Arabidopsis thaliana: one gene and its partners. The protein of the gene in region 3 interacts with the protein of the main gene of each other region in a pairwise test. Each region holds a gene or a part of one and is shown on either strand. Other genes may lie near its edges.

Evidence for each region.
Region 1: the proteins of AT3G66654 (region 3) and AT5G47610 interact in a protein complementation assay, tested with the Arabidopsis thaliana proteins (one large-scale study listed by BioGRID).
Region 2: the proteins of AT3G66654 (region 3) and AT4G13530 interact in a protein complementation assay, tested with the Arabidopsis thaliana proteins (one large-scale study listed by BioGRID).

The regions. Positions count from the first base shown.
Region 1 is NC_003076.8:19,299,509-19,306,080, forward strand, and holds AT5G47610 (RING/U-box superfamily protein), read right to left. Parts: upstream 2,610-6,572; 5' UTR 2,392-2,609; coding exon 1,891-2,391; 3' UTR 1,622-1,890; downstream 1-1,621. Other genes in the region: AT5G47600 (HSP20-like chaperones superfamily protein), read right to left, coding at 437-777, 894-948; AT5G47620 (RNA-binding (RRM/RBD/RNP motifs) family protein), read right to left, coding at 3,040-3,053, 3,151-4,210, 4,348-4,413, 4,549-4,770.
Region 2 is NC_003075.7:7,862,535-7,870,797, reverse strand, and holds AT4G13530 (uncharacterized protein), read right to left. Parts: upstream 4,471-8,263; 5' UTR 3,991-4,470; coding exon 3,304-3,990; intron 2,369-3,303; coding exon 2,243-2,368; 3' UTR 1,622-2,242; downstream 1-1,621. Other genes in the region: AT4G13540 (golgin family A protein), read right to left, coding at 194-462, 539-902; SMAP1 (small acidic protein 1), read right to left, coding at 6,148-6,336.
Region 3 is NC_003074.8:2,086,396-2,094,243, forward strand, and holds AT3G66654 (Cyclophilin-like peptidyl-prolyl cis-trans isomerase family protein), read left to right. Parts: upstream 1-1,520; 5' UTR 1,521-1,788; exon of another isoform or gene 1,789-2,253; 5' UTR 2,254-2,298; coding exon 2,299-2,450; intron 2,451-2,566; coding exon 2,567-2,612; intron 2,613-2,736; coding exon 2,737-2,787; intron 2,788-2,960; coding exon 2,961-3,046; intron 3,047-3,343; coding exon 3,344-3,481; intron 3,482-3,578; coding exon 3,579-3,729; intron 3,730-3,815; coding exon 3,816-3,902; 3' UTR 3,903-4,146; downstream 4,147-7,848. Other genes in the region: AT3G66652 (fip1 motif-containing protein), read left to right, coding at 1-568, 814-1,161; AGL91 (AGAMOUS-like 91), read right to left, coding at 4,867-5,403. UniProt on the Arabidopsis thaliana protein: PPIases accelerate the folding of proteins. It catalyzes the cis-trans isomerization of proline imidic peptide bonds in oligopeptides.

The sequences.
Region 1 (6,572 bases), on a different chromosome or scaffold from region 3:
CTGACGTCAGCAATCTTCAAGAGTAAAAAAATTATGAGCTCTCAATTATCTTTTTTTTTTTCATCAAAGATCAAATAAGGTTTCAACCGTCGTTTAGTGTTTATCCAATTATTACGACAACGCTATTAAAAAGTTTGATCCCTACTTACAACAACATATATCTATTAACATGTCCAGGTTACATACTCGTAATCCGGTTTAATAATGGCAAAGATCTATATAGTCTTATCGAATAGCTAGGTTAATGTAAGATTAAATAGAACAAAGAAAGCTGACAACTTTTTCTTTATTGAGATCACGACATATAGAAGCAAGATCGTTCTTAACTAAACCACAAAATGATAAACATAAAGCAGTAGCTGCATCAAAGTTCATAGATAGATAGAGACGCTAGACACAAGTACCATTACGAGACACAAACCAAGGTGTTGTTAAATCAGTAATGGAGGATCCTCTCCTTGACATTAATGGAAGCGTTTTTGCCTGGGATCTTAGGGACGGTGATCCAGAGCACTCCGTTGATAAGCTTCACTTTAGTTTTCTTGACGTCGTAAGCCTCAGGGTTGAAAATCATGGAGCCTCCGTATTTGCGTCCGGCGTTTTCGTACTCAGGCATTGCTGGTTCGTCGGCGAAGAAGTGGACGTTGTTGGCGTCGACCCAGTAGGTGAGATCTGACTCGGGACAACCAGGCATGTCGACTCTCGTCACGCAAGATTTCTTCGTCTCTGTCACCTCGTACACCGCTTGACTCCCACTTTTCTGAAATCGGTTCCTTACTGTACATACATAAGATAAAACAAACACAAATTCGTTATTAGAAAGAGAGATTTGACGTGTAAACTATAAAGGTTTGATTTTTATAAGAAATGACAGTGAAAGATGAAAACTTTACTTGGAGACGGAATTTCGCCGGAACTGCCTGCGTTAACTTCCATGTTCCTACTCATTTGCTCAAAACGATGCTCTTTCTCTTTCTTTTGGAAGGAAACTGAGTGAGCAAAGTCGCTCTACTCCACTTGCTATTTATAGCCGAGGAGGACTATAGGGTTTGGGAAAGGCCTGGAGTGACCTATCATTTGGCCCATTAATCGGCCCAAGGAGTGTTAAAAATTCGAAATTGTTTCTGATTTGGTGAAATTGATCGAAAAGCTCTTCTAGTTGAACTCCATGGAAAGGAGTGATCTTGTAGAGTGTTGACAATTGACATCAATCTGGAGACTTTGACTTCTCTGAACAATTTTTAGCACAACCGGAGTGACCACCTAATATGGGCCTAAGAATCGGCCCATTTAGTTTTGTCGGGGGATGAATTATAAACAATTGACATTTGATGGAAGAAACTAATATTCAATATCAGCTTAGCTTTAGGTAAATTATGCAATGGACCCAATTTGTTTCAATCGGCTTAGAGGAAAAAAAAAGAGTTAAAAGTTTGTGAAAACAAATGACATGAATCATTGGGTACCATAGCAAACACAAGTATGTATATGTTAGTTACTTGTGTATTTGGCCCATACATCGGCCCAATGAGTGTTTGAGCCTTTAAAATTCGAAAACTGCTTTTGATTTGGTGCAGTATATGTTAGTTATTCAGCTTCCATCTAATCTCCTCCATACACATTATAATTTAAGTTGCTCTGAGTTTTATTTGATTCTTACTGAAGATTGGTCCAGAAACTTTCCTAGTACAATGAACTCTTGTTTCAAAACAAAAAAAAACACTGTTTCATTGTGTGGCGATGTAGAATTAGATTGATACAATACAAGTACTTAAGTAAATACTTTGGTTGGTCTACGTTACCTAATAATACAGAGCAGATACAGGGTAATCTCAAGCAAAACATGATACAACTCTAAAGCTTTTGGAAAAACAAGATTAAAAAAAGAAGCTAAGCATTGATGTGGCTTGAAGGAGTTTCAGAGTGTTGTGAGAAGATAGAAGTTCTGCAAGTGGGACAGGAGGAGCGAGTAGAGAGCCATTTGTGGATACACTTAACATGGAAACCATGCTGACATTTCTCCAGCACTTGAATGCTTTCTCCTTGTTCAAATTCCGACAAGCAAATGGCACACTCTGCTTCAGCTCCTGCGAGTTCAAGGTCGGAGGAGTAGACAAGTGTAGGAGTTGTTGGAGTGGATGAAGCAGCTGCTTCAGGGTCAGGCTTGTGGTCGTCTTCAGTCTCGAGGGTTGGTCGGAGAAAGCAACGAATTGCAGCGTAAAGAGAGAGAGCACAAATGAGAGCAGAGATGACAAGGATGAGAAGGACTGATGCATTAGCTGTGAAGTCAGTAGAGTTTGAGTAAGGCTTCCATCTGCAAGTATGAGAGTTACATGTTGGAGTTGCAGCAGAGGACAATGGTGAAGCTGCTTCTGCTACTAGCAAACGCATCTTTTAATGGTTTGAGAGAGAGCCTCGTGAGAAGAGACCTTATAAAGGAGAGGAGTGTAGGGACAATAGTGGCGCTTCCAGTGGAGTCTTGAAGCTGTGAGAGAGTTTGAAGGATTAGGATGGTTTCGTCTCTATTTTGAGGACTGTAACACTCGCTTCTCTCTCTTTTGGTCCACTTCACATTAATGGATATTATTGCGATGGATGAGGGATTGCTTTCTTTGTCCTGTGGCTTATCATCATCCACATGTTTGCCACACGTCGTCCTCACACTACGTTGCCTACATTCTAGGCAAATTGCTCTTTTTTTAATTCGTTTTCATGTTTGAATTTGTCAATATATGGATTTAGATGATAAAAGAGAGAGAAAGACAAGAACAAAATACACTTCATTGTTTCTTTGTCTCTTTTTATATCACTCAAGTTTACATCTTTTTTCTTTAACGATAAAAACAAAAGAAACAAAACCCCAAATTAGAAAAAAGGGTGAAAAGAAAGCTATAACAACAAATCAAAATAGTAAAAAGTAAATAAAAGCTTTAAGCTTTTTGGTACCAATAATTTTTTTTTTTTTAATAAACTTTTTTCCTCTTCTAAAAACTCTCTTCTGCAATCATCTGATCTCCATGGTATAGATTTGTCACTTCTCTAAGCTGCAATTCCTGCAACAACACCATTTTCATATGATATCATCAGATTTTCTACAAATGCTTGAATTCTCGGATAGAAAAAAGGCGTTCATTCATTCATTATTCATACCTCCGTTTGGTTGCCTGTTGATGTATCCAGCTGGTCCTCTAGACATGAAGTCCAATGGTCCCATTCCCAATCCTTCCTCTGCCTTTGCAGGCAGCGAAAGCCACATCGAGTCGCTGTACAGAGAGTCTGCCTCCAAGATGCTTGAGCCGCTGCTGTAACCACCAACATGAACTCCTCTCATTGCTTCTAATCCTACACCTCCTCTCTCACCGTGGTAGCTACTGCGTGCACGTGCAACTGTTCCCCAGTTGTCACCAATGCTGCCTAGTGAAGACATTCCAGAGTTTCCACTGAAGCTGCTTCTTGATATCGGAGAGTTTGACATGTAACCTAGACCACCATTTCCCCATAAATGGTTCTTTGGTGCTGCATTTAGGACAGAACCGTTCCCAACACTAGCTCCTCCCGACTCCATTTGGCTACCGAACCTGCCGAGACTCGCAGCATATCCAGGGCTAAAGGGTCGTCCAAAGCCTCCACTGGAACCAGAACCGTAGTTCTGAGTCTGGTTTGGCTCAAAATTCAGCTCGATTCCGTATCCATGTCCAAACGGTGAGAATCCTCCCCTATTACCTACTGCTGGACTGTACCTAACTTCAGGTTTCACTCCATAACCAGAGATTGGACTCGGGCTGAATCCCTGGGTGTACTCATTCAGTAATGAACTGATTCTACTAGTGCCAAAGCTATTTACATTCATTTGGTTCCGCATTGTGTTGAGAGCCATATCCTTAGGAACAGCCAGTTTGACCTCCACCATCTTACCATTGAGTTCGTGGAATGTCTTCTGCAGTACTTTGTCAACAGCTTCCTCAGAGTCATATGAAATGAACCCAAAGCCTCTAGGCCGCTGGGTTCTGTGGTCATACATCACCACAACATCAGTGATCATCCCAAACTGAGCAAAATACTTTTTGAACTCAGCCTCTGTCACGGATGATGCCAAACCTCCCACAAAGATCTTCTTGGAGTTTGATGGGCCAGGTGATCCCTGAAGGCTGCTGTTACTTTTATTAAATACTACGTGATCATCTCTTGGAACAGCCTTCTTTGCCTCAACCTGTATATCATGGAGAAAATCAACACACGACACAACTCAAAGAAAGCAGTTTTTCATTCATTGTGAACCACTTTCTTTCACATGAGGATATGAAACGATCCAAGTTTTACATTTTTATTTGTGAGTGTGAAATGAACAACTTCTGACAAAGATATGCATTTATCAGAGCGGCAAAGCTGATTGTAAACAATAGAGTCTACTAACTAAAACAGGAAGGAATAAAAGTGAGTAGCTTTGCTTTGCTTTGAGAAGCAGCAACCTCAAAATGAAGCAAGTAAGCAGGAAGATTGTTGAAATTGGAAGCAATGTATGTTGGTATATAGCAGGAGGAAACTTACAATTTTACCATCAATGATATGTTTAAGCAAGACGACTCTTTCAGCAACATTAGGATCAGCAAAGACAACGAAACCAAAGCCACGAGCACGGCCAGTGGCACGATCCTTCATAATAACAGCCTCTAAAACCTCACCAAAACTGTGAAAATAGTCACGAAGACGATCTTCACTGGTTTCCCAAGATATACCACCGATGAAGAGCTTACATGATTCCATTTCCATTTCTGCCAAACAAACAAAAAAAGGTTTGTTTTTGGTTCCAGATTCTATATCGATCTAAGTGAGAAGGAGAATGGAATCGATAGAAACACCTCAAGGGAAGCAAAATAGGATGAAAAAGAGCAGATGGGTCGTGATCGGATTGTGTAAAAACCGATCGACCCACGATCTTGGATTCCTGCAGAAACAAAAAAAAACACAAATGATCAATAAAGGTGTAAGCTTGGAGGAAGGAAGGAATGAAAAACCCAGAAGACAGAGAATCTATGTATGTGTGTAATACCGAAAATAAAGAAACGGAGAAAGAGGAAAAAAAAAAGATTTTAGGATTGAGAAATCTTCAGATTTGGAGAAGGCAAGGTTTTAATAAGAGGGCGAGAGGCCCTCCTCTCTCTTTTCTGCTTATCGTCCAAATTTTTAGTCTTTTCTTTTCTTTTCTTTTTCTGCAATCCAAATCGAATTAAAAGGAACAAAAATGGATGGAAGCAAATAAGCAATGCTCAGCACAAATTTCAGAAAATGGAAAAAAAAACACTCACAAAAAAGAATACTTTCTCTTACGTTTTTGTTTTTATATGGCAATGTTTGGCTATCCTTGTAAGAGACGAGGGTATTTTCGTCACTTCCGTTTCTTCTCTGTAATAAGTAATTAATTTATTAATAACCAATGCGTGCACCTTTTTACCCATAAGTTAAAGAATAAAATCTATCGTTAATAAAAAATGGCTAATTGGCTTAAGTTGATCATGATTTCTTCCTAGTTCTAGATTTTAGTTGATCATCATAACTTTAATTTGAAGAGAGGTCTATGTTTTTTAAATGGTTCGTTAATCAGATGATTATGAAAGATGCAACATGTGACAATTATTTGATTGCATGAAATTTTAAGATTAAAATGAAAATGGCATGAAACTCTAATTAGAGCTTTTGGGGAATCAAAGTGGGCAGGAACATGGGGAATGGTTGATGACGACGATAAAGATTGCCATCCCACAGTTTTTTTTTTAATTATGTCCCTTCATTTTGCTTTCAAATAAACTAATCAAATTTGTTATGAATTGAATAATCATTTTTAAAATCATTCATCAACCAAGTGGAAGATGTTTACAAGTACACAAGGCATTACTTGTGCATCCAAATTATTATTACCAACTTTCATAAGCTTACTTTTCTTCTTTACATTAATCACTTTCTTGCCGTCCAATTATTTTATTTGGGTTTTTTTACACTCTTTAGAAAACAAAAACATCATGTTATGTCGGTTTTATCCTATTAGAAAACACATCGACAACATTTAACCACTAAATTACATATATATATATATATATAAAATTACAACTATTGATCGTTTTTGTATTATTCTTTACAAGTCAAATTTCCACCGTTGAAATTTTGATTTACAACATTAATCCAGAGTTTAAAAATTCGGATCATCTAATTCATACATAAGTGAATTAATTAATTAAAAGCGTGACATCAAACGTTAGACACATGTGGAGATGAGATTGAATAATGAATATCATCCACTAACCATTATAGGTTAGAGTCTTGTAGCCTATGTACCAACTATCTCTTTTATACTATTTAAGTTTAACTCTCATCTTGCAAGAATCCAAGATTAAGCAGCCTTACTAAATCGGGGAAATAAACTTAGGTTTATAATCAGTGCAATCACATGGCCATAATTATAAATGAGCAAAACAATTGTCTGAAAAGGCCATAAAATTTGTTGGGCCTACAATTTGATTAAAAAAGACGAAGCGCCGCATATATTTTATCTTAAAGCCCAATAATGTTTTCGGCCC
Region 2 (8,263 bases), on a different chromosome or scaffold from region 3:
CTTAATCCCTGATCATTCACCGTTTTTCTTTTCCATTAGATTTTCTTGATGCTGGATATGTTACTTGTGAAGTATATACAACTTTCTTTAGCGTCATGAGATAGGAAAGAAATGGCTTATTATTGCTTGAAGCTTACTGAGTCTACTTATACAGCAATCCTTGTGGAAAAGTAACTTCAAATGACTAAAACAGTTATTTACACCCGATGAATTTTGTTTTGAATACTGTCAGGTTTCTGGTAGTAGATGATAGTGCCTTGTTCTTCCCGCTGCTACCGCCGAGGATACGCAGACTCTGTCTCAGTAAGTCAATCTCTCTTTCCTTCCCATTTTGTTGTTTCTCCATCAAATTTATTCTCCCTTTCAGTGTCTCAATGGTTTCTCCCCTAGCTTTAACTTCCTTTCTGAGTTCTTGCACTGCCTTTGCAACTTCTTCTTGCGGTTTCTGTCTCAGTGCCTCTCCTACAAAAGAAAAAAAAAACTCATTACCTTCCTTTCTCAAAACATCAAAGATGAGATTATTTGTGAAAGGTCTTACCATATGTTGTGTGGATGAGATCATCAAGCTCATTCTTGATAGCAAAGTAGAGCTGCTTCCACCTCTCCACAGCTTCTTCCCTCACTGCTCTCTCTAAACACATCTGTTCCACGACCCATTCCCACTCGTGTTGTTTCGCCTTTCCTTCTTCCTTCTCTTCCATCTTCTGTCTCAGCCTCTTCACTTCCTCTCTCAGTCTCTTCCTCTCTTTCCTCCACTCTGTCTCTGCCATCTTCAACGCCAAAATCACTCTCTCTTTCTCATCAAGCTCTCTTCTTGTTTCTCTCCTTCTCTGTTCATTTGCTTTCACCTTGATGCGTCTCTTACTACTGTTTCTCTCATCCTTGCTTGTAGAACCACCCATGAAGAAAAGCTCTCTTTCTCTCTCTATCTCTGTAGAACTTTTGTTCTATTTTGAATGTCTTGTTTGTTTCATTCAATGAAAAAAAAAAATGATTATTGTGAGTGAAGAAAGCTCCACTTTGCGGCATTGCAGACACATGTTATTTATATAATATGGTCCAAACCAAAAGCATCTTCACTTATCCTAAACACACAATAGGAAAATTATGGAATGTCTTATCACAAAACTAATCACACAAACACACATTGTGGCTTGAGTTGATTATTTCTTATGGAAACTGAGATAAAAAGACAAAAGAAGTTATGGGCACTCTCAGGACATAGTACTGAATAGGAAACAAGAGAAAAAGGAATTGAAGTGGTGTTACAGAATATGAAAAGCAGTGTTTTTTCTTCAATCTCCAATTAATGGTGTGGGCTTTGATTGTTTGTCACATGCATCATTAACATGGACCCATACCTATTTACTCCTATTTTTTCTTCCCAATATTTGTAGGTTTTATAGGTTTCTCTCAAACTTTTGGTCTAATTTGTCTTCTTCTCATGGAGGAAATTGTTACATAGGTCTTAAGTTATTGTCTGTGTTTTTATAGACCGAATCAAACATAGCAAACCAAAATTTGAGTATGTTACGTGAAGACAATGGGTAGATTTATCTTGAAGTTCGAATTTTGGTTTGCTTTATTTCCGTTAAACGTCAATAGTTAAACTTCATGAGTATGCTTTAGCTTTGGATCCTTAGTTCCTTACAATACTCACTTGTGATTTAAGTATGATAAGTGAGTATACCAAACTTTGGTGGTACAATGGTCAACGAATAATAGAGTGAAAGAAGACAAAGAAACAAGAAGAAGAGACATATATCTAATCACAATTGACATCGTAGAGTTTAGGATAGCTATAAAGTGAAAGATAGACTCCTACATGGCTACATCAATCAGAAACATTGCCCTCTTCACGTGAACTTCCCTGTTAATTTGGGTTTTTGTCTTAACCCTTTTCATATCTTAAAGAGTCGTACTTTCTAAATAAACAACCAAAATTCCGTTATTGGCTTTTGTCTTTGTACAATCTCTTTACGACACTGCCTACTAAGACCAGCTCAGAAGCTTATCAAGGTTAGATTCTGACCGCAACCTTCCAAAACTGCACTATGATTCTGATCCAATTTGTATTCCACCAAGCAAGTAACAATATATACACACACAGTACAAACTTACAAGCATCTTTTTGTATGTTTTTGTAACATTTTTAATACAATCATATGATACATGCACCAACCACATCAAATCATATAATCTCACATATATGCATTATTATGCCCTCAAATTCACTTAATTTTCACCTTAAACTCATCATGGACCACTGGTTCATACCCACTGATGACGGAAGTGCTGGCCGGATTATGGGCACACGTTTCACTACCGAGATTGCTTCGTTCCACCGAGCAGCATGATTCGCCACCTTCTGAAAAAAGTATTTCATTCAAAAGACAGACAATACAAGAATCAGATGGTGTAAAAATCTTCCGAATTGTGTTCTGAAATACTTAGAACTTTTGTTCTTCATTGCCATGAGTGAAAAAGATGAATACAAGTCAAGCAAGAACGTGAATTTCAGCAGCAAAAGACATATTTGATCCGCCAAGTTATATGCAACCGTAAGCAGGATTCAAACTTGGGTCCTTACTGAGGCTTTGTACCAGTGGAAGATCAGTTAAACTAAACTTTCAGGTTTTACCACTACTTTTATCCATTCCTCAAAGAAACATTTTACGATAAGATTCGTAATATATAGTAACTTCCATCTCTGGCTACCAACATGAAAAATCTACAAAGAATAACTACTGAAAACTAGTCTAAAGATCTTTCAACTATCCTTTAGCTATTAGAAAGAACATGCAAACTCAAAATGTAAAAATAAAAAATATGTTGTTTAAGCATTATAGGAGATGAAACAACAGAGAGGACGGACAAAGAAATAGATCACCCAGGTGGTATTCTAACGACTATTAACACTGCTCTCACCAACTACACATTCTATGCCAAAAGTATCTATCAAGAACTCAACCGATGCAGTGGTGCTATATCAAAAACCCTTAGCAAGATAGTGTAAATGGGTACGAGTGTATGCCTGTTGGTGAATACTATGACCTCGAGTCGCTGGTTGCATCTAAACTACTTAGCAACAAGAAACTGGTCCCAGGACAAACAAGGGGATGATCTGATCTTCTCATTTTCCCCATCAAAACAACAATTGACACTAATAAAACATCTAACTAAGCAGTAAAAGTTGAACTAAGCAGAGCTCATATCACACCAAAAGATCATACAGTAACCACATGACTCATGAATCAACATACTCAAAGAACAATAAACAATCAAATAAACCAAGCTAGTTACCTTATCATCCAAAAGAACCTTAAGCTGCAAGGAACGAGTCTTCTTCTTCATATTGTACAATCTACGCCCTAACATAACAAAACCCACAAATGCTGCAGCCATGGACAAAGACCAAATAGGATTAATTTTCAACACACAATACTTCAACACCTCTATTGGAATTTTCCACCACACAAACCCTTTCTCTTCTCCTCCTCCACCACCAGATTTAACACCAGGATCAATAGAAACAGAGTTTCCTTCTCCTTCCACTGGATGAAGTAAAGATTCTTCCTTTCTCTCATCAGAGCTTATCAAATCCATGTCTTGAGCTATACTTTCACTATATTCAACAATACCCACTTCGTTTCTCTCTATACCCATCTCGTTATTCACATCATCATCCACTAACCTCTGATCATCAAGCCGATCACTGCTTGAATCAGACCATAACTCACTAAAATGCTTCGGACCATAAGGAACATCGGAGCTAGGTTCGATCCATCCTGGACTACCCGATTGAACAGACCCATCTTCATCGTTTGCCTCCAAACGAGACAAACCACTCTGGTTCTCAAGAGAGAAATGATCAAACCTAATCATACCTTGCGTGCCATCATCAATCTCCTCCAAGCTCCTCGAATTGTCATCTTCCGTGGTAGATCTCGAGCTCTGAAGTATTTCCCAGTCTTGAATCTCTCCTTCCATGTCAAAGTTAGGGGTTTTTTCGATCCAATTGAGGAAAAGAAACAAAAGGAGTCTTTGTGTTGGGGCGAAAACAGAACCGAAACGCTTCTTTCTCTGTGTGGAGATCACAGAAACACTAGGTCGTGGTGTTAACGTGGCGTGGTGTGATTGGATAGAGGATGAAGTCAAAAGAGTGGTTTCGTTGACGTGTGGGTTTATGATAACTATATGGATTGACAGTGTATGTTGTTACGGTGGGCCGAGAAGTAGAGGACCTTCAACCGCTTTTGCTAATCAGATATGCTCAACTTGAAACTGGAGGGAGAGGAAGCAAACACGTCATATAAATGCATTTTGTGAAGAACATCATAATTTATTGATACCGAACCAAATCCAATAGAATGTATTTTTACTTTTTACTATTTTACTTTTCGTTTTTTTACTTGTTTTTTCTCGTTCAAATTAGGTGATCGATGAATTGATAATTTAATTGTAATCCGCGTAATTCATATTCCTTCGGTTCTATTTTGTTGATTTTGAAGAAAAAAAAAATTGTTTCAAAAAAATTGATTTTTTAAAATTTTTATGTAATATTTATTAGTTTTTATTAATGAATTGTAAACTTTAATAAAAATAATTAAATTTTATTGGTTTAAAGTGATAGAAAATTGTAAAACACAAAATATAATATATTTAAAATCAACTTTAATATATTTACTTTTGTGTGTTTTTTTCTAACAATCAAACAAAAAAAACAGAGAAAATATTTATTTATTTTTGCTAAGAAACATAGGAAATATTTAATATTAATCGAAACCCAACTTTTTTTTCAATAAATGTTTAGCGTTAATATCATAGTTTAACAAACATTCTTTTTTATAACTCAAAATTTTAGAGTTTAGTCATTAAACCAAGATGTGGAGATTTTATAAAGGTTGAGGTAGGGAGGAGAAGAAAGTTAAGAGGCTCATGGATGGTGGCTTGCAGAGATTTGGGAGTTTTTGAGAGAGTTGATGACGTGGCAACTTGAGAACACATTTGTTAAAAGGCTGAGGTGGGTAGTGTGAGAGGCCTCAAATAACTTTTTTTTTATTAGTAAGAGATTCTGAAAAGAGGTTACCGATATCTAATGAATTGCTATCGAATGTTGAAATCTCATGAAATTTGGCTACACTACATACATACGACTATAAGGCAAGTAACAAAGACTGCTAGGGACTGACAAAGTGACAAGTGACATCTTTATGCTTAGCCTCCTTTTCCTTTCTACCATAGTTGAACATCAAGCACATTATTTCCATCTCAAAACCGGCCCAGAGAATATAATATGACACGATGCAACAACAGAACTTGGCCAGGGGAATTATACACCCCCTCCTACATACCACAAGACAGGAATTATACACCCCCTCCCACATACCACAATACAACACACATTCAGAGACCACGAGATGGTGAATTTACAAGAAATCAACATGGAACAAGATACCATATCCATATAAATCATTGACTGATGTATCTGAGTTACATGGAAGATACAAGAGACTATTTCTCTTAGGCCATTAAATTGTTGGTAGGAATATGTGCTTCAGTATGAGTTCCCTAGTTCACTTAATCACTAGTGGAAAGTTACAGCTTACATGAGGATTTCATCTCTCACCGGGAAGTTTCTCTAGACCCGGTGAGTCACATGAATATCAACACAATGAAACACATCAACACATATTTCAGAGACCTCAGATGTTGAAATTACAAGCAATCACAATGGAATATGGTACCAAATGAATCAATTAGTTTCTATCTTAAGCCAATATCAATAACTTTCACATTCTTCACATACAAATTCACAACATTCTTCACATACAAAGACTCTAATTTTCAGTTACTAAAATACCAAAACACTAAAGAAAATTAGGTTTCAATCTCCAAAAAACATCATCATCTCCAGAACCAAGGAAAAAAAAAACATTCTAAATTTGAGCCAAAAAAAACAATCAGACAAAGCACAATAACACACAAATCAAATGTTTTAGTAATCCAAATGAAGAAAAACATTGTTACATACCACAAACATAAAAATCCCAGAACTTATTACACACTTACTACATAGGTTTCTCCACAAATTACATCAAGTTTAGGAAAAAAAACTGAAATCTTAAAGAGGAAACTTAACCGGATTTAGTTGATATCGGTGTCATCGAAATCATCATCGAATTTGTTGAAGAAATCGGCGTCGGCGAGCTTGTTATCTGAGACAAGTCCTCCTTCGTTGAGTATCTCCATGGCTTCGAGGTCATCAACGTCCATGGCCATCGAAGAACCTGCATCATCCATCTCCGATAACATATCCAGCTGCATCGGCCTCATTTCTCTCTTCGTCTCTTCTTCGTTTTCTTCTTCGGGAAAGATCTAAAATGTTACAGTGACTGACTGTCGAAGTTTTGATGTTGAGGTCATTTTCTTTTAGGCCTAAATGTTGTGGCCCATCTTTATCTTCTTAGGCCCAATTGATGTGGCCCATGTTAATTTTAATCGTTCATTTTTCGTAGTGATTTTTAGCTGAATCTGTGGATTTTTTTTTTTTTTTTTAAGATACATCAGTTGAGGAATTGGCTGAAAAGTGGAACTAGAGGAATTTTTAGAATTTTTTTTTATTAATACCATGTTTATATCCTCTATTAAACAAATTTGATTAATGCAATTTTAAAAGCTACAAAAAAAAACTCAAATTATTTATATATAATTCTGTTGTCTGTAAAATTATAAAATAATATCAAGATAGAATAGTTTTCTAGTTGACGAAAAAAAATTAGGTTTCTAGTTAATAAAAATTAGAAAAAACTATCAAAGTTAAAATGTAAAATCAAAGTAATAGTTTTTTACTATTAAATTTTCATTAGTTAGGTCAAAATCAAATTTAGGATTGGGTGATTTAATCCCAGTTAATTCTGACTACAAAATGGTTAATTAATATATATAATTCAGTAGTTGATATGTTTCTGCATACATTGAAATAAATTAAACTATCACAATCGAAAGTCGTAAAATACGATTGATGGATGCGATTATTCTCTCTCGTTAATCACGAAGATAAATCTATTTGTTTCACTTTTACGGAAAGGGCAACGAGTTAATTTGTACATGGTTGTGTTAGTCATATTTAATATGGGCTGGTTTTACTCTTTTTGTTTGCCAATGAGCTAGTTTTCCATTTGTTACAAATTTTTTTTTTTTTTTTCTGCTAAGAATGTAAATATTTCATTGAAAAATGAAAAAGGTTTAGGAGATACAATTAAGTAAATCCTACAATTTTGGTCTCATGGCAAAAAAAGGATAAAAAACATGGAAGCAAAGAACAATCAGTCCATCGACATCAACAAAAGAAATTACTCTTTTGGAATCAATGAAGTGATAAACCGATTCTAAATATTAACTTAAAAGACACCTTAAGGAACAAGAAACGAGCTACCAAACGGCAAAGACCGAATCAACAAAAAACCTAGCGATGGAAGCCTTTCAACGGAAGTCCGAGAAAACTGAGCCGTCAACGGCACACCCTAAGGCGAACCTAAATATTATAATTACACACCCTAAAAGGCGAACCTAAATATTTTCCGGGAAAAAAAACATTGACGAATAAGATTAATAGAGCAGTAGCACACAATATCTTTAGAGGGATCCCATCTTTTGATTAAGATATTCGATAGCATGTTTACAAATAAAAGTAATGTTTTTATAATGTCTCTCCAAATATGTGGTCTTCTCGTGATTAATTCTATGAAACTATTAAGTTCATGGGTAGGTAGGGTTGCTTCAAAGTAAATGACGTTCGTGGTTACTTTTTGAAAGTAATTAATGTATGTGGGATCATTTTCTGGTACCTTAGTATCTTTATGAGGACATGTATGATTCACCGAAGAAATTTAAATAACTTCTCCCATTTTTTCACCTTTTCACTAAAGAGTAAAGAGTGATATACTTTGATTCGTTCTTGTATATAATAAAGTTTGAAACAGTTCTAATCGAAAAAAAAAAATCTTCAATCAAATAGTTAGAATCTATGACGAAGTCGGACTCTAGAATAAAATTATTTAGAATCTATAGGTCAGCCAAGTTTTTTTTTAGTTTGAAGGTGAAAATGGAATTGTTTTCACATTAATCATTGGAATATTGGAAGCATATGATACATTGAATATATTTATTCGAACAAAAAGTCAAATCAACAAGGAAAAATCAAAGTCGTGAAAGTCTTACGGTTTTGTTTCTAGCTGTACGGTAACGTATAGTTATTAAT
Region 3 (7,848 bases):
TCATGATTGGCATCTTGATAGATTTGTCTCAGAGGAAGATGGTTATAAGTATAGAATCCAAGATGGTTGGTCCTCACCGTCTTTATCTTTGAGAGATTCTTGGTATACCAAAGAAGCAAAAGGTGATTTCCGGAGAGATGATACCAGAGACTTCAGAACACCTGAAGCATATGACAGCCAGAATAACCATTTTCATAAGGCTGCACCGAGAGATGGCTGGACGCAGAATCTTGGTCGTAGCCATAATGTGAGCGTAAAAGATAGACTACAGTATGATGCTGATTGGGTTGGTCCTGATAGAGGAAGATATAATATGGCAGATGACATGCAATGTTCAATGAGAGAAGTTTCTAATTCTGAGCATCCATCATATACTGATGAGATATTTGTCCGCGACATAAGAGTACCGACACATAATCGGATGGCGACCAAACAAAGGTTTGGATATTTACAGAGCCATATTCATGAAAATGATGAAAGACATCACAGATCCAAGAAGCTGAGAGGAGATGGGCATGCTTTCATCAAGCGTCAGGATCATGTTGACTTAGCTGGTAGGCAAGGAAAGGTAAAGATTGGGAAACTAAATCTACATGCTTTTAAACCTATATTTGAATGAAGTATAAACGCCTTTCAGTTATTTATATCCCTGGATTTTCTTTGTGTTATTTCTGACTGTTTTATCACTTTATATGGTCTGTCTTCTATACTTAGGTTTTATGTTGCTCACATCCGTATATTTAGACATCAGTTAGTGTACAATGAAGAACAAGACCCTTCTCATGTGATAGATATTTTGTGTGTGTGTTTCAGGTCTCTAACCAATCAAAAAAAAGATTCTCCAATGGCGGAGATACAATCGAGCAACAAGATGTTCAGAAACCAAGAAAGTTAATGGGCAAAAGCGAAGAGAAAGCTATGCAGAATCGAGATATAAATGACAAAGAAGAAGGCGAGATAATAGAAGAAGTGAAAGGTGTTGAAATAGACAATGAACGTATACAAGAGAGTCTGAAAAAGATGGAGAAACGGAGGGAGAGGTTCAAGGGAACCAAATTGGCGGTAGAAGCGACATTCAAATCTCAAACTGAACTGAGAGCTAAAGCCGATGTTACTAATCAACAGAGGCCAGTTAGAAAGAGGAGATGGTGTGCAAGTTAAAAAGATCATATTGGATGGCTTGTTTCAGGTTAACACAATAACGGTTTATTGATGGTAGGCTATATCTAAACCGATCAATTAAAAAGTGGCTAAGAAAATCACAAAACCGAACAATTGACTGTGACCTGGGTTTTTTTAAGTGATCTTGCTTGTGCATTTTTTTTTTCCCTTTTGTAAGTGTTTACGTAGAAAATTTGACTTTTTTACCAATGCTTATTTATATTTACAGTTTAGTATGTGTAATGCAAAATCAAATGATGCAGCGAAGGATCAAACCAGTGACAATTAGGGCGGAAACCGTATGATTAACGTGATAACCACTAGACCATAGTAAAATTACTTTCTTTTGAATTTAGAATCATTTTCTTGGGTCAAATAGATAACCAGATAATTTCATGAGAAAACCAGACCGAACTATACGATTTTTCAAAAATGATCAACTTTTGTATTTTTGTTTGTGGAATAATATTCGTCGGATATTGGTGAGGTGGACTCGTAGCCGTCGGATAAACACGCGGCTGATCTGAAGCGTCTCTGCAAAAGAGAAAAGAGAGCAGAGAATTCAAACCAGTTTCCATCGACGCAACGACCAATCTCCACGATTCCTCTCTTCTCTCTAACTTCCAGGTACGTTTTTCGAGAACCCAATGAAGCAATCAAAGTCCTTGGAATTCATTTGATTTTACTTTCAGGTCTTTGGATTTCTATAGAAAGAAAGATCTGTTTATTATTTGATTGGAACATGATAAGCTGCTCCGTTTCTCATATCCACTTTTGTTCAATTTATTTCAATTTGATCGATAATTGGAAAAGTACTGGATCTGGTGTATCGGAAGTTACCGGTCAAGCTATGTATGAACCCTTGTGATATTTTCACATGCGTTTATTCATTCAAATATGCTAGATTTTTAATCTGGTCAATACGTGATATCAGGGTTTCTTCAGTTGGGTAACAACTTAATCTTATTGCAGTTTTGATTTTACCAACTTGAAATTGAATTATAGTCTTACAGATACGAATTTGGAGTTTTTGTGTAGTGTATACTTGTTTTCTGGATTGCTTGTCACTTACTGTTGATTTATGGTTTGCAGAGACAAGTTGTATCCCTCGTTTGCTTTCTGCGAAACTAAGGTGCAATGGCGAAGATAAAACCGCAGGCTCTTCTAAATCAAAGCAAGAAGAAGAAGGGTCCAAGTCGCATAAGTATTTCCACTATTATTGTCTGTAATCTTGTAGTTGCTGTAGTCATATTATCGTTGGTCACAACCTATCGCCATTGGTCCCAAAGGTTTGTTTTCATCTTTGAATTGTTCCTTTTTCATTACTTCTGTTATAGTAGATTCTCCTTTTACTTTATGTGATTATCTATAAACTAAAAAGGATATCATTGGTTATATCTCCTAGGTCAAGAAACACAATTGAACATGAAACTCGGAGTCAGAGATTTGAGGTATTTTCTTGAGAGATTTTTTAATGTATAGCTTTTGAGTTTTGATCCTGATGAACTTCCGAGCACTTAGGTTTAGAGTTTAGGGTATTTACCATATGTGATCTGGCTTTGGTTTCTGCTTCAGGACACTAATACTGCGTCAGGGCAAAAAACTTACGATCTTCCTGGTTTTGCTGTAAGTTAATCTCCCTGTTTGCTTGCTTAAGTTTCTTGTTTTAATCCTTGTTCTTATTTCTCATCATGGTATTATGTTCTGTTCATCAGTTTTTGAAGTAAAAAAAATGTGATGTGTCTTATCTGAATATTGATTTTAATGATATCTTGCTTCTATTTTCCTATCTCATGTAGGATATAAACACATCAAAAGGACTTATAACTGTCGAACTCTTCAAAGAAGGTTCCCCTGAAGTTGTGGACAAGTTTCTAGATCTATGGTTAGTATTGGAATTCGTTTGTTTTCCTTTAAGTTAGATAGAAAAAGAACAGTAGAGTAATTTGATTAAGCTAGGTCATGACTTGTTCTTAAATAGGAGTATTACTTCTAGCTTGATAGGATTCAAGTAGCTTTAGTTTCTTGATTGACTGATTTTGATCCTTAAGTCCTCTTGTACTCTTCTTGGAATTTTTGTTTGGAACATGAAACCTCATTAAAGAGAAATGGGCTGAATCAGTCTGTGACGATATTGTAGCTTAATATAATAGTAGAAGTTGAACATTGAGTATTGTTGCAGTCAAAAAGATCACTTCAAGGGAATGCCGTTTCAGCGGGTTATAAAGAACTACTTGGTACAAGCTGGTCACTCACCGAGCTCTATACCTGTAGAAGAATGGACAGCTAAAGGAAAGCTCAGAGGTCGCCTTCACATTGGGTATAACTTGCTTGCTCTGCTTTTGGCTTTTAAGTGTCAATGTTTATCATCTCTCGCTGGTTTTAAAAAATAAAAAACTACATATGTTCTGTTACAGCCCAAAACATGAGGCATTCATGTTGGGAACACCAAAAAACAAAGGGAACAACAAGGATTTTGAGCTTCTGATCACAACGGCCCCAATCCCGGATCTGAATGATCAACTTATAGTGTTTGGAAGAGTCCTTAAGGGAGAGGATGTAGTACAGGTTTGATCCAACTAAGCACAGTCTATCAGCTTGAATGGTTTGTTTAATAGTTTCATGTGTTAAAAGATTAAATCATATTATTACAGGAGATCGAAGAAGTGGATACGGATGAGCATTTCCAACCGAAATCGCCAATAGGGATCACTGGTGTTGTACTGAAACTAGAGACATGAAATGAAAATTTCTCTTCCTTGCTTCCTCTGTAAATGAGGCTCACGCCAAATCCTTCTTCATACTCGCTCTTTTGTATAAATCCTCTTTTGAGGTTTTTTCTTTCTTTCTATTTTACAGTTTCTTGTTGTTTTGTAATTTTATTTGATTTTTCTCGAGGAAATAGAATCTTTGTTTAATTATGCTTCTGATACTTGAGCAAATACATGAACTGATTTTAGAGAATTTTATCCTGTTATGATAGAAAAACTTCTGTATTATACCCGTTAAGTACCATAAAACTATTAGAGAAAAAGAGAGGTCTTTTAAAATTTATATGAGAAGATATGGAGAACAATCTGAAAAACCAGAAACAAATCCTTTAAGAATTCTTAAAAATCTCTACAAGATTTCTTTTAAAAACTCTAAAATAATTCTTAAACAATTCTTAAGGAATTCTTAAATTATTCATAGAATACAATTACAAAAATACTGTATTTTTGTTTTAGGTAATATTTAATAATTTGGAATAAGATATATAGGACATACATCAAATTATGTATTTTGATACTATTTTGACTAAAACTTAAAAATGTTAAAAACACATTTATAAATATGTTAATTAGTTGGTGTACTCTTATGTATTTTTTTCTAATTAAAGATAAATATCTAGAGTGTGTAGACAAAATCTATAATAATATAAGAGAAAAAAAAACAAATAACGCTTTAAAATTTCATATCGTAATCATTATCAATTTTGTAGAGTAGGAGATATTGTTATAATTCATTGTTTTTGAAAAGAGAAAATCTTCATAGTAATATTTGGCAACCGAAAGTTACAAACCATCGATCATCAAGAGGAAGATACAATCAATAAACCTGTACCAACCATCTGCTACATCTCTACCATATAAATCTATAACGACTAATACAAAATGAAAGTTCCAAATCGGTGTTGTTACTGTTGCCTTCTCATTTGCATAACTGCTAATTATCATTAGAGAGAAACATGAGAGAAGACGAAGCCTGCATATGACTAATGTTACTTTGGATCCCACAGCTTATTTTCTTAATCTTAGCCTCAAATTCCTTGAGTTCCTCAAGCGTAAGCTCCTCAATGGGCTTATTGAACTTATCCTGTTCAGCAGATTCAAGCCACTTGTGAAGATCTTCACCATGTTTCTTCTCAGCTTCAGCTTCTTCAGTAATCGAGTTGAGGCGTTTACATATCTTCTTCTCCTGTCTAGCTCTATTGCCTCTACTATAGCCTGATGTTTCACAGCTATCTCCTTCTTCTTCTTCTTCGAATTCATTCTTAAACCGTTCTGCAATCACATCAAAATTCGGTTTCCCGAAGGAATACGGTTTGTTTCCTGGAGAAAAGACAACAATACCAACCTCCGCGTTGCACAGAGTCGCAAGCTCGCTCGCTTTCTTGAACAAACCCAGCCTACGTTTTGAGAAGGTAACTTGCTTCGTGTTTGTGTCTTGCACTTTCTCCATCTTAATCTTTCTCCTACCCATTTCTTTTTTTTTGTGTGAAATGTTTTGAGTGATTGTAATCTATGTTTGTGTATATAAGAAGAAGATTGTATTTCTTTATGTATTTATAGTAATGAATGTGGAGAAAGTTGTTATTGAACCTCATCATCATATATGTATATTTTTAGTAAACTTTTGTTTTTGCATATATATACATATTTAGTAACTCCACTTTGAAAATCTTGCATTACCTTATGAGAGCATTGAATATTTTCCATGTATTTAATCAATATTCATAGATATTTAACTATTATTAGTATTATCTTACTATTAGACCTCTTATTAAATGGTAGTTTGAATTACAAGGAGAACTTTACCAAGTTAATAAACAAAATTTCTTCTTTACCAAAATAGTTTATTTCCACCCAACAAACAATAATAGTAGTTTGACAAATAATAAACACATATTAAAAAAATATTAACTTCTATGTATTATAGTAATAATCTTACGTGTCATATTTTTTTTTTAAATAGTATTATTTCTGGGTATAATTAATCATAAACATCTATGTACATTTAAAATTAAACCATTATTTATATTCAATAAAAATATAATCTGCAATGCGTTTAACCCATTAAGCCTTTTTTTTTGTTAGGTATAATTAAATCGAAACTCTATAAGTCTCTAAATCTATTACGTGGGTCAATTGACTTTTTGCAAAATTAGTTAGACTTCTATATATAAAAGTTGACTCTTGTCCACTAAGACAATTGACACCTGTAAAATTTTTATGGTATTGAACCCAATTAAATTTATTTTAAGTAAGTATGTTATATATAATGAAGTCCATTAATATAAATTATCTTAAATATCTTAATACTTGTTTGTCCATATCCTAAAAAAGTAAAAACGGTTTGGCTTCTTCTTTTTCGTTATTTCTTTTATTTTAGATCGTAGAGCTTTAAAATTAGAATTTCAGTAAAAACAAATTATGACTCCGATGGAGTAATTTTCTGGCTCTTACAGAGAGAACAAGCGTGGACTATTAATTGAAAAGCACAGAACAACCGCTGCTTATCTGTTCCATAACACAAAACAAACAAATAGATGTTATAAATGAAATTCAATCAATGAAAATTAATCACTCTATCTGTTTCAAAATATTATTATATGTCTTAGATAAAAGCACAAAGTTCAAGAATCTAACTAATTTTTTTGTTATATTTTTTACATTAAAAACATAACTTAATATTTAATTATAGATAATCTAGCCAATGGTGAAATTTAATGTAGAATATACATAGTCACAAATTTGAATGAATTTAATTTTTGTCATAGAAATCTAAATGTTTTTCTAAAATATCTTATCATATAAAACAGAGGGAGTAAATACATTAAGTTTTCAAGCCAAAAAAAAAAAAGAAAAAAAAAACTTACAAGGAGGTAGATATCAATTATGTAGATCAAAGAATAAGCCGTCCAAAGTCCAGCGTTGATGAAACTAACTAACGACAGCCAAAACGGCATGTACTTGAAGGTCTTACTCTCCAGCATTTTTTTCTAATTGTTGCACGAATTACAAACAAAAAAAACTAATCAAAACCGCTAATTAATACTTAACCATCAATGAGAGTGAGAGTGAGAGTGAGAGTGAAAGCTTTACCTTGGCAAATGAAACATAGATACAAATGTTGAAAATGTTGCAAACAATCCCAATGAGTGTATACTTGGCGAATAAACTTTGAATTGCCCAAATAGTAATCACATAGAACGATGTCACAAAATCAAACACAGCCAGAAGACATAGATTAACATTTCTCTTCTGCACATCAACATCAACATCATCAAAATCAATATGCAGAATTAGACATATCTAAGTATAAAAGATGGACCTACACGTGATTCGTCTTCACAGCAGATCCAAAAGACAACCACAAAGATTACTTCGTTAACGAAACCAATACTATTACTAGTGGTGACGAGAATACTGTCCTTGTGAACAACAGGGAGACCATACAAAACCCACAAACTACATTGAATCAACAGCACTAAATGAGGAGCAATTTGAACTCCCTCCACTGATTTCTTCTTGCATGTTTGTATAACCGTTGGCCTGTATATATATATAATGAAAAATGCTTTCACTCTTGACTACAATAATCCTTCTTCTTTTTTTTTTGGTCAGAAAACAACAAATTACTTATATAAAAGTCTGAAAACAGTAATACTTATATAAATCTGAGGAGTAATGATCCTAGCTAGAAACCACTAAAACAAGACAGATTACATGCACTATATTTAAACCTTGAAAATATAGTTGACAAATTACTAGAGAAGAAATAATTTTAAAAAACGTTCGAAATAGAGAACATACGTAAACACAAACATACACAAAACGAATGTGAAAATAGAAAAGAAAAAGCAAGAGAAAGAAGAACAGGGATTATTACATATGTGAGAGCGAAATCAAAGTGGATAGAACATTC